3 linked regions of the Rattus norvegicus genome follow. The protein of the gene in region 1 interacts with the protein of each later gene in a pairwise test. Links are inferred from orthologs where the notes say so. Each region holds a gene or a part of one and is shown in the gene's direction. Other genes may lie near its edges.

Evidence for each region.
Region 2: the proteins of Pnma1 (region 1) and Aptx interact in binary tests that used the Homo sapiens proteins (3 or more experiments, as listed by UniProt). The two-hybrid records come from large-scale screens. The link is inferred for Rattus norvegicus from reciprocal best matches to the Homo sapiens genes PNMA1 and APTX.
Region 3: the proteins of Pnma1 (region 1) and Rusc1 interact in binary tests that used the Homo sapiens proteins (3 or more experiments, as listed by UniProt). The two-hybrid records come from large-scale screens. The link is inferred for Rattus norvegicus from reciprocal best matches to the Homo sapiens genes PNMA1 and RUSC1.

The regions. Positions count from the first base shown.
Region 1 is NC_086024.1:109,512,781-109,516,274, reverse strand, and holds Pnma1 (paraneoplastic antigen Ma1 homolog), read left to right. Parts: upstream 1-1,107; 5' UTR 1,108-1,601; coding exon 1,602-2,663; 3' UTR 2,664-2,893; downstream 2,894-3,494.
Region 2 is NC_086023.1:60,615,988-60,619,728, reverse strand, and holds the start of Aptx (aprataxin), read left to right. Parts: upstream 1-938; 5' UTR 939-1,076; intron 1,077-3,741. UniProt on the Homo sapiens protein: DNA-binding protein involved in single-strand DNA break repair, double-strand DNA break repair and base excision repair.
Region 3 is NC_086020.1:176,792,636-176,796,383, reverse strand, and holds the start of Rusc1 (RUN and SH3 domain containing 1), read left to right. Parts: upstream 1-1,402; 5' UTR 1,403-1,502; intron 1,503-2,205; 5' UTR 2,206-2,289; coding exon 2,290-3,631; intron 3,632-3,748. Other genes in the region: Fdps (farnesyl pyrophosphate synthase), read left to right, coding at 431-565, 940-1,140. UniProt on the Homo sapiens protein: Associates with the adapter-like complex 4 (AP-4) and may therefore play a role in vesicular trafficking of proteins at the trans-Golgi network. Signaling adapter which plays a role in neuronal differentiation.

The DNA.
Region 1 (3,494 bases):
GAAACAGCCTTGACTGTAATTATTGTACAGATATTTTAATAGCATAAAGTAAGTATATTCCTTTTATTTTGAAACAAAATGGTCAGACACTGCCTTTCATGTGTTTGTTGCCTGTGGCACTCTTTTTAAAAAAGACTGTTACATATTAAATAGTGTACATATATATAAATATTACCTCTTTGTGTACAGTTGTGATAGACCAGACCGAAAATTTTATTTTTTGTGTGCTTTTTATAAAAAAAATTAATACACTAAAGAGAATCTTGCGGATGTGATTGTAATGTACCCATGTAACTTATTTACTTTTGAATGTTCTGTATCTTAAGACCTTTTATTAAATAAGGTTTTAAAAAAGTCATTGTTGAATGCCATGTTCTTATAGGGGTGTTTTTGCCAGCTGGGACTGACTGATAGGGAACTTCTCCCTTTCTGAGCCTTAAGCGGTCTGTTTTGCTATCCTGTATACTCAGTAAGGACAAGAAGTTTGCTTGGCTACAAAGAGAAGTAATCCGGTGGGGGGGAGGGTGTGCACACACACACAAACTTTAGGTTTTGACACACACACACACACACACACACACACACACACACACACACACAAATTTTGGACAAGAAAGCCAAGTCAGACACTCAAAGGAACCAGTAGGTGGAATCCTCTTTTCTAGTCTTATGGGGAGGAACGGAGAAGCTGCAGACTGTAATCTGGTGGTTCACGGAAGTCAGATTTAGTGTTTTCACAGCAGAGTGAATGCATAGAATGGATATGAGACAAGTCCGTCGTGGTAGATGCGTATCAATAAGGCCAACTTAAATCCACAGCAAAATTAAATAAAACAAAACATGCTTAGCAATATTGTTAAGGAGGAATCTGGGAAGTACGAGTATGGGGGAGGGGTAAAAAGAAATGCACCATCATAGAATAGACTACTCAAACCCCTTCTTGGCACCATAGCAACCGCCAGATCCTCTGGAGCCCGCGCATCTCGCGTCGTCATGGACACAGTTGTCACGGTGACACTGGGGGAGGCGAGCGGACCGGTTCCGCCCTCCAGTGCAGCTGCACGGAGGCCGTTGCTGGAGCGCGCGGCCATAAGCGCTGAGCAGAGCTGCCTCCAGCCCGGTTCCTCCCTCCTTCGCGCTTCCTGCCGCCTCAGTCCCCGGTGCTTCGAGTGCCGCCTCTCTCGGTGTAGCTGAGCCACGGCCTCGAGTAACCCTCGGCCGCCCGCGGGCCAGGGAGAGGTGGGAGGAGCTGCCACGCCCCGCGACCGCACCCAGTCATCTCCAGCCCGCAGCCAACCGCCTTGAGCCCACCTTCCTCCCCTTCTCAAAGCAGTGACGCAAGGCACAGCCGCAGCCAGTCCACTCCTGCCCGGACCAAAAGGGCGACATTCGAGTGATAGGCGGAGTGTCCCGTGGCACTGACTTGGGACCCGGAAGGGACCAGAAGGAACTCTGGTGTCTTTTGGTAATTGTGGTTGCTTGAAGCTTGTCGCCCCCTGGCCTACCGGGGGAGGAGAGCATGTTGTCCTAAGCCCAACAGCAGCACCGTGAGCCAGTCCAAGCACAGTCTGTAGAACTGGCACTCTTAATAGTTGGGCGAAATGGCTATGACACTATTGGAAGACTGGTGCAGGGGAATGGATGTGAACTCTCAGAGAGCTCTGTTGGTCTGGGGGATCCCTGTGAACTGTGATGAGACCGAAATCGAAGAGACCCTCCAAGCTGCGATGCCCCAGGTATCCTATCGAGTACTGGGGAGAATGTTCTGGAGGGAAGAAAATGCGAAAGCAGCCTTGTTAGAGCTCACTGGGACGGTGGATTACTCCCTGATCCCCAGGGAGATGCCAGGCAAAGGAGGGCTCTGGAAAGTAGTGTTTAAGCCCCCCACTTCCGACGCGGAGTTTTTGGAAAGGCTGCACCTCTTTCTAGCTAGGGAAGGGTGGACGGTGCAAGATGTTGCTCGTGTGCTTGGGTTTCAGAACCCTGCTCCAGCCCCAGGCCCGGAAATGCCAGCAGAGATGCTCAACTATATTTTGGATAATGTTATTCAACCTCTTGTTGAGTCCATATGGTATAAGAAGCTGACTTTGTTCTCCGGGAGGGACATTCCCGGGCCTGGCGAGGAGACCTTTGATTCCTGGCTGGAGCACTCGAATGAAGTCATAGAGGAATGGCAGGTGTCTGATATAGAAAAGAGACGGCGGTTGATGGAGAGTTTGCGAGGCCCGGCTGCCGATGTCATTCGCATCCTCAAGACCAACAACCCTGCTATAACCACGGCAGAATGCCTGAAGGCTCTTGAGCAGGTGTTTGGGAGCGTGGAGAGCTCTAGAGATGCACAGGTCAGATTTCTGAACACTTACCAAAACCCAGGAGAAAAGTTATCTTCTTACGTTATCCGTCTGGAGCCTCTGCTGCAAAAGGTAGTGGACAAGGGGGCCATTGATAAAGATAACGTGAACCAGGCTCGCCTGGAACAGGTCATCGCTGGGGCCAACCACAGCGGGGCCCTCCGAAGGCAGTTGTGGCTGACTGGGGCTACAGAAGGGCCTGCACCCAACCTCTTCCAGTTACTGGTGCAGATTCGAGAGGAGGAAGCCAAAGAGGAGGAGGAGGAGGCCGAGGCTGCCCTTTTGCAGCTAGGCCTAGAGGGGCACTTCTGAATCCCAGGACTGGCCAGGCTGCTTTTGATATTCCTGTGAAGTTTTAGTAAGCCTGTCCCTTAAAGTAAACAGCCAGCCTCCTCCTGCCTTTGTTTTGTTTTCTGAGGAATGGGATGAGAAAGTCAGGCCCGCATATTCCTGTAGCATTCACAGAATTGTGTAATTAGCAGGAGTAAAGGCGGTTCATAGTGCTACAGTGATGCCAGCCCTCCTGGTGACATCTCTGACAGCTGTGAGAAACATGAAGCTGCGATCCTTCCTGTCACGATGTTTGTGAAACTGCAAGTTCTGATGCTAAGTACATGCCCGGTTCACAGGCTGTACACTACAAACTCTTGTATTTATTTGTTACTAACACTGTGGACAGCTTTACTGTAAATTGTTGCTAATTTGTATCCATGGAAAGAATGCGACTTTTAGATATTACTCATCTTGAAAATGCAGATTTCTAATTCCTCGTGGCTCAACACTGGAATCAGTTTCCCTGAAAAGTATCCCCAGATTAGAAGTGGCGGGTTAGAAAGATGTGTTTTTATAGAGTGCACAATAAATCCTTCACAGTGGAAGATACAGATGTAAGTCATAGGGGGAATGGCCCTGGACAAGCTACACTTCCTCACTTCAAATATTTGTCATTATTGGTCATATTGATGCTAAGGGTTCTAAGTTTGAAGTTATTGAATAGATGGATACAAAAAAAATTTGAAAATTCTCTTTTTTCCTGACATGCATACAATTTTTCAGCATAATTTAGCTTCACATACTTTTTTCTCCTGACAAGGACTTTTGCTCATGTTTAAAAAAACAAACTAAACTACCCCCCTGCTATGA
Region 2 (3,741 bases), on another chromosome or scaffold:
GGTAGGGGAAAGGGGAATCTTGAGTTTGAGATTAGCCTAGGGTACAGTGAAACCTTGTTTTCTAAACAACCCCCCCCCCAAAAAAAAAAGACTCTGAAAGGTTCAGTTTCTACTGCGTTTCAGATTCTACACTCTGATGTACTCACGAGATAGGAATTCTTTCATCTGCCAAGAAGTCTTTGGTGATTTACAATACAAGACTTTTAGGGAACGTCCTGGAATTGCAATAAAAATCAGTACAAATATGTCATCCCAACCTCCTGCCTTGCTGATTGCCCTCAGTTAATTTAGTGAAGACATCATAAAAAAAAATCTTAGCAGGGTTCCTCTGTCTCTCTCTTTAGTCTTTTTCTCCTTAGAGAAGGAAAGTGTAATTTGAACGTGAGTGGTTGGTAAAGCACTCCAGCTTGTAGCTTAACCGATGGCTTCAAAGCTGTGTTTGGTAGCTCGCACCTGCAATCCTAGCACTGGGGAATCTAAGGCAAGAGGAGATTCTGGCGAGTTCAAGGCCAATTTGGGCTACAGAATGAATTTGTCTCACTACCTCCAACCTCGTTCCTTCCCTTTCAAAGATGGCTTTAACATATAGCAAGCTTCCTGAGGAGGAAGTGCTAAGAGACGACTTGGCTGCATAGAAAAGCCACAGGAGATTGCTGTCTGAAATCTCTCCGGATTCAGACCCTGGGAGGCTATGACAGCTAGATGCCTCAGAGAAGGCAAAGGAGTTATCTTCACGGGAAACAACTAGCTGCTACGACCACTTTTCGACCAGGGTATCCGGCAAGAGAACGTTTCGGCCAATTCTGGAAAAAACTCTGAAATCATCACCAGTTGCTAGGCAGCAGTTTGTGACATCATCTTTCAGCACCGGAAGCGGCGAGGCGCAGCGGAGTAGCGTGGAGGTTTGTAAGTGTGCAGTCGAGGTAAGCTAGTGGTCGGCCTGCTTTCGTAGCTGGTTGGGTTAGAAGCCAGCAGGGGCGTTTGGCCGGGGCTGCTAACCCGGAGCGGATACCTTGAAGGTGGAGTTCGAGGTTTCCTTCTGGGTGGACCAAGCCCCACCCTTTCGTCCTGTTCAGGTGGGCGTGTTTCAGAGTTTTGGTTTCCGCCTCATTGTTCCGACCTCTCTGACTCCCCGCCCCCCATCCCCATCCGACTCTTGTACCTAGTTGGCTGCAAGATCTGCTTGAAAAGATTTATAGATAAACAGTGGACACTGTCCGTGCCAACGGGGCTGTTCTGTTTCTGCCAGAAACGCCTTCCAAGAGTAACTTGAGGCGCCCTAGCAGTGTCCTCAGCGGGCCTTAATAATGCCGGAAGCAGTAAGGCCTTTTTCATATAGTGCAGAGACTGATTCAACAAAGCTGGGGCTTTTGAAATTACATCTATTTGGAATTGATGGAGAATACTTTGGAGGAGTCGATATGTATTGGGGATTTCGTAAGAGTCCCAGCATCCCCACTAGCCCAGCTGGCCTCAAATTCCTGATCCCCTTGTCCCTACCTCCCAGTGATGGGATACAGGCCTTGTACATTTTTTTTTTTTTCAAGATGGTTTACAGTATGTAGAGTAGTATGACCTCAAACTTCTGGATATCCTGCCTGTGCCTCCTTAATACTGAGACTGCAGACCTCTGTCATAGAAATCTTTTTACAGAATTGTTTATGTGGGAAAGAAATGCATATTTGGTTTTTATACTTTTTTTTTCCAAGATGATCTTTGTAAGGAAATCTTTGTCCAATTCCTGCTTGGTTGTTAGTGACTTGTTTGCTGATATGTCGTCCCCACACCTCCTATTCTTTAAGCAAGCATTCACTGACTGCTGAATTTCAAAATCTATTGAAACGTACAATTTTTCAGCTGTCAGCCAGTCACATGGGGCTTTATCTGGAGCTTGTTGGGGTCTCTGGTCCCTTCTGCCTTCAGTTTTAGGTTCCACTATCACTTAATGCTTCTCCATGCACTGTGCCATGTCTTCCTGTGTTTGCCTTTGTTGTTCTCTTTGCCTAGAAATTGTCTTCCTAATCCCAGTTTCTGGTTCTTGTTGCTCAGATAGGCTGCCTACTCCTACCAAATTAATCAAGTTTATAAGCCCATCCCATCTCCAGAAAACTTTCCTTCACAGGGTACTAAGGGTTTGTATTTCTATAATACTCTTTCTACAGGCAAATCATACCCCACTGATTATAATTATTTCTGGGTCTTCTGTGAGATTGGAGGCTTTTGAAAGGAGGACATATGCATTAGCTCTTGACTCCCAGTGCTAGAATAGCATGAAGCACATAGTAGGCATGAAAAAATCTTGATTGAGATTGAGTGAGTGAGCCCCCAAACAGTATCGTGTAGTAGTTAAGAACCCATTCTTTGGGGGTTGGGGATTTAGCTCAGTGGTAGAGCGCTTGCCTAGCAAGCGCAAGGCCCTGGGTTTGGTCCCCAGCTCCGGAAAAAAAAAAGAAAAGAAAAAAAAAAGAAAAAAAAAAGAAAAAAAAAAGAACCCATTCTTTGGAAAGAGTTGAAATTCTAACTCTGGCACAGAGTCTTGGTTGCTTGACACGGTACTTACTTGTCTGTGCCTTAATTTTCCATAGTGAAGGTGAGACCTTGTAAATGAGACATTTAGCATAGTACCCACTGTGTAGAATGTCTTAATTTTTTTTTTTTTACATTTTTATTTTGTGTATGAGTGTTTTGCCTGCCTGCATGTACCATGTGCATGCAGTGGTCATGGGGGGCAAGAAGAGGGTGTTGGATCCTCTTGGAACTGGAGCTATAGACAGTTGTGAGCTGCCGTGTGGGTGCTGGGAATTGAACCTGGCTCCTCTGGAAGGCAGTCAGTGCTCTTAACCACTCAGCCATCTCCCCAGCCCTCCCCCCCTCTCGCCCCCCATGTAGTATGTTCTTAATAGGTTATGCTGAACACCTGGGATCCTGGGATACAAGAGCAGGCCAGCAGCAGTCTTCCAAGACTTTTCTTCCATGTTTCTCGAATGGGGATACAGAGGGGAGTTCGTTCCTAAGGCTGTGAGAAGATGACAACTCCATTGGCCTCCAAGGAGATGGGACCTGAAATCTAAGATTTGGGTCTCTAGGAAGGAGAGAAGGATAAGTCAACATCAGAATACCATGCTTAGAATGATGATGTCTGTGTGTGTAAAGGTGCCCGCGTGTATGTCTGGGGAGGGAAGAGTGAGAAGGATGGCCACTGGGGCCAGTTCTGTGAAATAAGTAACCTCTGAGGAATTAGAGGCTGACAGTCTTAAATTCAAGTCTCCACAGTCACTTGTGCTTAAATTAATTGGAAATTCAGCTCCATACTTGTGCTAGTGGCCCTTCAGAAGCTCAGTGCTAACAGTGCTTCAAGATAGATTTCAGGCCGCACGCCACTTGCCAAGATCATTTGGGTTCCCTAATGCGATGGTTTGTCTGTGCTTGGCCCAGGGAGTGGCACTAGTAGGAGGTGTGGCCTTGTTGGAGTAGGTGTGTCACTGTGGGGTGGGCTTTAAGACCCTTGTCCTAGCTGCCTGGAAGCCAGTCTTCTCCTAGCTGCCTTCAGAACAAGAGGTGAAATGCTCTATGTCTTCCTGGATGCTGCCGTGTTCCCATCTTGATAATAATGGGCTGACCTCTGAACCTGTAAGCCAGTCCTAATTAAATGTTGTCCTTATAAGAGTTGGTTTGGTCATGGGGTCTCCATAGCAATGGAAACCCTAACTAAGATTCCTAGGGCGGTGGTGGTGGTACATG
Region 3 (3,748 bases), on another chromosome or scaffold:
TGTCACAGATATCTATACCCTGGCAAAATCAAAACTCTAGAGGCTTGTAATTTATTAATCAGATTTATATCAGTAAATTCTCACCCCACAAAACGCCCACATAATAAACTCAGAGCCAATTGATACTGATATAAAGGGCCCACCTAGATAAGATGTCCTGTAGTCATCTATCCCTTATATAATACTCATAGTTACCCGTGGCTGTTTAAAGCTACACGGATCCGGGTGGTCCTCTTCCTCCGTCTTCCTTCTCCCCTTCCTGTGCTCTTTGTCTCTAGAATTCTCGGCCCACTTTTCTTTTTCACTGTCCAATCACAGGCTCTTGCCTTGTCTTCTACCTGCCCTTCCCTGCTTACAGACAGCAGTGTACACAGGTCCTCCAGCCACACTGCATGGAGCTTCTCATCTCTCCTTTCTGCCTGCTCCCTAGGACGACTACCTTGATCTCTTTGGAGACCCCAGTGTGACCGGAAAGGTCGGCACTGACATCCAGGACAACAAATGCAGCTGGCTGGTGGTTCAGTGTCTGCTACGAGCCACTCCTCAGCAGCGCCAGATCTTAGAGGTGCCCAAGTGGGGCTTGGGGGTGGCATGTCCCTTTGCTAAGAGGGGATGGGGGAGGAGTGGTTAGAACAGTGATTTTGCTGTCCAGGAGACATTTGGGAGCTCAGTGCAATTTGGTGTATGTGCTGAAGGTAGCAGGCAGGACCAGGAAGATTTTGTACAGTGCCAGACAACACATGCCCAGTAACTGTCAGTGGTGTCGAGGCTGAGAATCCATAGAGGAAGTAGAATCCTGAGCCAATGCCTGAACTTTGGGGTTGGGGAGGCAATGCTTGAGATTGGATTCCCAGAGAGAGAGCTTTGCCAGTGTTCTGGAATGTAGGAGTTGTGAGGGCCTTTGAATCCAGCCAAAAAAAGCTGTTTCTCTGCTTCCAGGAGAATTATGGGCAGAAGGACCCAGAAAAAGTGGCGCGGGTGAAAGCACTGTACGAGGAGCTGGATCTGCGGAGTGTGTTCTTCAAGTACGAGGAAGACAGTTACAACCGCCTCAAGAGTCTCATAGAGCAGTGCTCCGCGCCCCTGCCCCCATCCATCTTCCTGGAACTAGCAAACAAGATCTACAAGCGGAGAAAGTAACCTCGAATTGTAGAGGCTGCGAGGGAGGGGTCTCAATAAATTATTGTTCAACATCCTGTGGTTTTATGCTTGTGTCAGGAGTTCAAAATGGAGGGGTGGGAGAGGGCAACTTGGAATCCAGGTTGGCAAAAGAATTCCTTGAGACCCAAAGCTGCTGCGTTGTTAGATGGGTGACATAGGCACAGCGTCAAGTGTTGCGTGGAGGTTGGGAGGCGGTCCTGAGCTATGCCACGCCCATGCGTGAAGGGGTGCGGCTGCGCAGCCACTGGGTTTTGCTGGTGCCCCTCCCCTCCGCTCTGTTCCCCGCTGGGCGGGGACGCAGACGAGCCAAGGCCGGCCGGAGCGATTCCAGGAGGACTGCGGTGAGGAGGGCTCGGTCTGAGGGTGCGGATGGATGGATGGATGGATGGATAGATGGGTGGATGGCACGGGAGAGGAGCAGTGAAAAAAAGAATAAAGAAGCGGGTGATGGGTGGAAGATGGAGACGAGCTCAGAGTGAATGGATAAACCTTGCCGTTGCGGGTGGGTGAGGACACAGGCTGAAGGCTAGAACTGAATGGGGACTGGGGCAGATGCAGCGCTGACAAGCAGAATGCTTCCTCTTCCTCCAGCCCAGACCCCTCTCCTGCGTTAATAACCAAACCCTTCTTCTCATTCCCGACCATCCACCTCACTAGAGCATCTGGGCGGGGTCTCCTTCCTCCCAGAGGTAAGCTGGAGGACAGAACTTGATTAGGAAGAATCAGGGTGTTTTCTGGACCCGATTTTCAAGCATCGCACCCCCATATTCTGGGCCCCACTTTTTTCAAGCTTCGCACCCCCGCGGAGATCAGTACAACCGCATTTTCTCATGACCCTCCTTTCTTCGTTCCCTGGAGGTTATGTTCGACTCCACCTGCAAATGCTGCAGTGCAAACTAATGGCCTGTTCATGGTGATTTGAATCTCATTTAAATATTTCCCAAAGCAGCCAGGTCTTTCCCAGGCCTGTTCTAGTCCTCAGTCACCTCCCGTGCCCTTACCGGCGATCTCAGTAGCTAGGTTTCAACCGCCCCTGTTTTCTAGGTCTGCATCTGTACTGTCAGGTAGGTGGATGTGAGACGCTGGATCCTGTCGGTTCTCTGAAAGCCATACGTCGTCCTCGGCACCATGCTGTCCCCTCAGCGGGCTTTACTCTGCAACCTCAATCACATCCATCTCCAGCACGTCTCCCTAGGCCTGCACTTGTCCCGCCGTCCTGAACTACGAGAGGGGCCTCTGAGCACACCCCCGCCCCCAGGGGACACAGGGGGCAAGGAAAGCAGGGGGCCTTGCAGCGGGACCCTTGTGGACGCCAACTCCAACAGTCCAGCTGTGCCCTGCAGATGCTGCCAGGAGCATGGGCCCAGCATAGAAAACCAGCAGGACCCCTCCCAGGAGGAAGAGGCTGCCTCGCCTTCAGATCCGGGATGCTCTTCCTCTCTCAGCTCCTGCTCAGATCTTAGCCCTGATGAGTCTCCAGTGTCAGTCTACTCTCGAGACCTGCCGGGTAATGAGGATGCCAACCCTCAGGCCAGCATCTTCCCCTTGGAGCTGGGCTCTCCTCTGGCTCCCGCGGGTCCTAGCACCTGCTCTCCAGACAGCGTCTGCTGCTCTCCTGATTCTTGCTCCGGAATATCTTCTCCACCTGGACCTGACCTGGACTCGAACTGCAACGCCCTGACCACCTGCCAGGACCTACCTTCCCCAGGCTTGGAGGAGGAGGAAGACAGTGGGGAACAGGATCTTGCTACCTCTGAGCTCTCAGAGACCGAAGATGGGAGAATTGACGCAGGGAAAGCAGAGCCCAGTTGGAAAATCAACCCCATTTGGAAAATCGACACAGAGAAAACTGAAACTGAGTGGAAAACCATCGAGGACAGTGACTCTGGTTGGAAAACAGACGAAAATACAGACTCGAGCTTGAAAACGGAATCTGGGAAATTGGATTCTTGTTTGAACACCAATTCTGGTTCGAAAATAGATGCAGGGAAAACTGATGGGGGATGGAGAGGTGACGTCAGCCAGGAGCCGGTGCCCCATCGGACAATCACGTCCTTCCATGAGCTGGCCCAGAAGCGCAAGCGGGGTCCGGGGCTGCCCCTTGTGCCGCAGGCCAAGAAAGATCGCAGCGACTGGCTCATAGTCTTCTCGCCCGACACTGAGCTCCCGCCGACTGGGTCCCTGGGAGGTTCTTTGGCACCTCCCCGAGAAGTCACCACCTTCAAGGAACTCCGGTCGCGAAGCCGAGCCCAGCCGCCGCCAGTCCCGCCCCGGGACCCTCCGGCTGGGTGGGCTTTGGTCCCGCCTCGACCGCCTCCCCCTCCCGTCCCTCCGCGGAGGAAGAAGAATCGACTTGGGCTGCAGCCTATTGCAGAGGGGCTGTCGGAGGAGGGCAGGGCGGCCAGCCCCCCGGCTGGTGAGGAGGCACCCGCCGTGCAGGAGCCCGAGGAACCGCGCGCGCACGCCGTGGGTAAGAAGCGTGGACCCGCAGGAGGGCCGGTCCTGAGTCCGCCCCTGGTCCCCTCCTTCTGCAGTGTCCTCCCCGCCCCATCTCCAGGGCACGCTCTGGGAGAGGGAAACTGGGTGG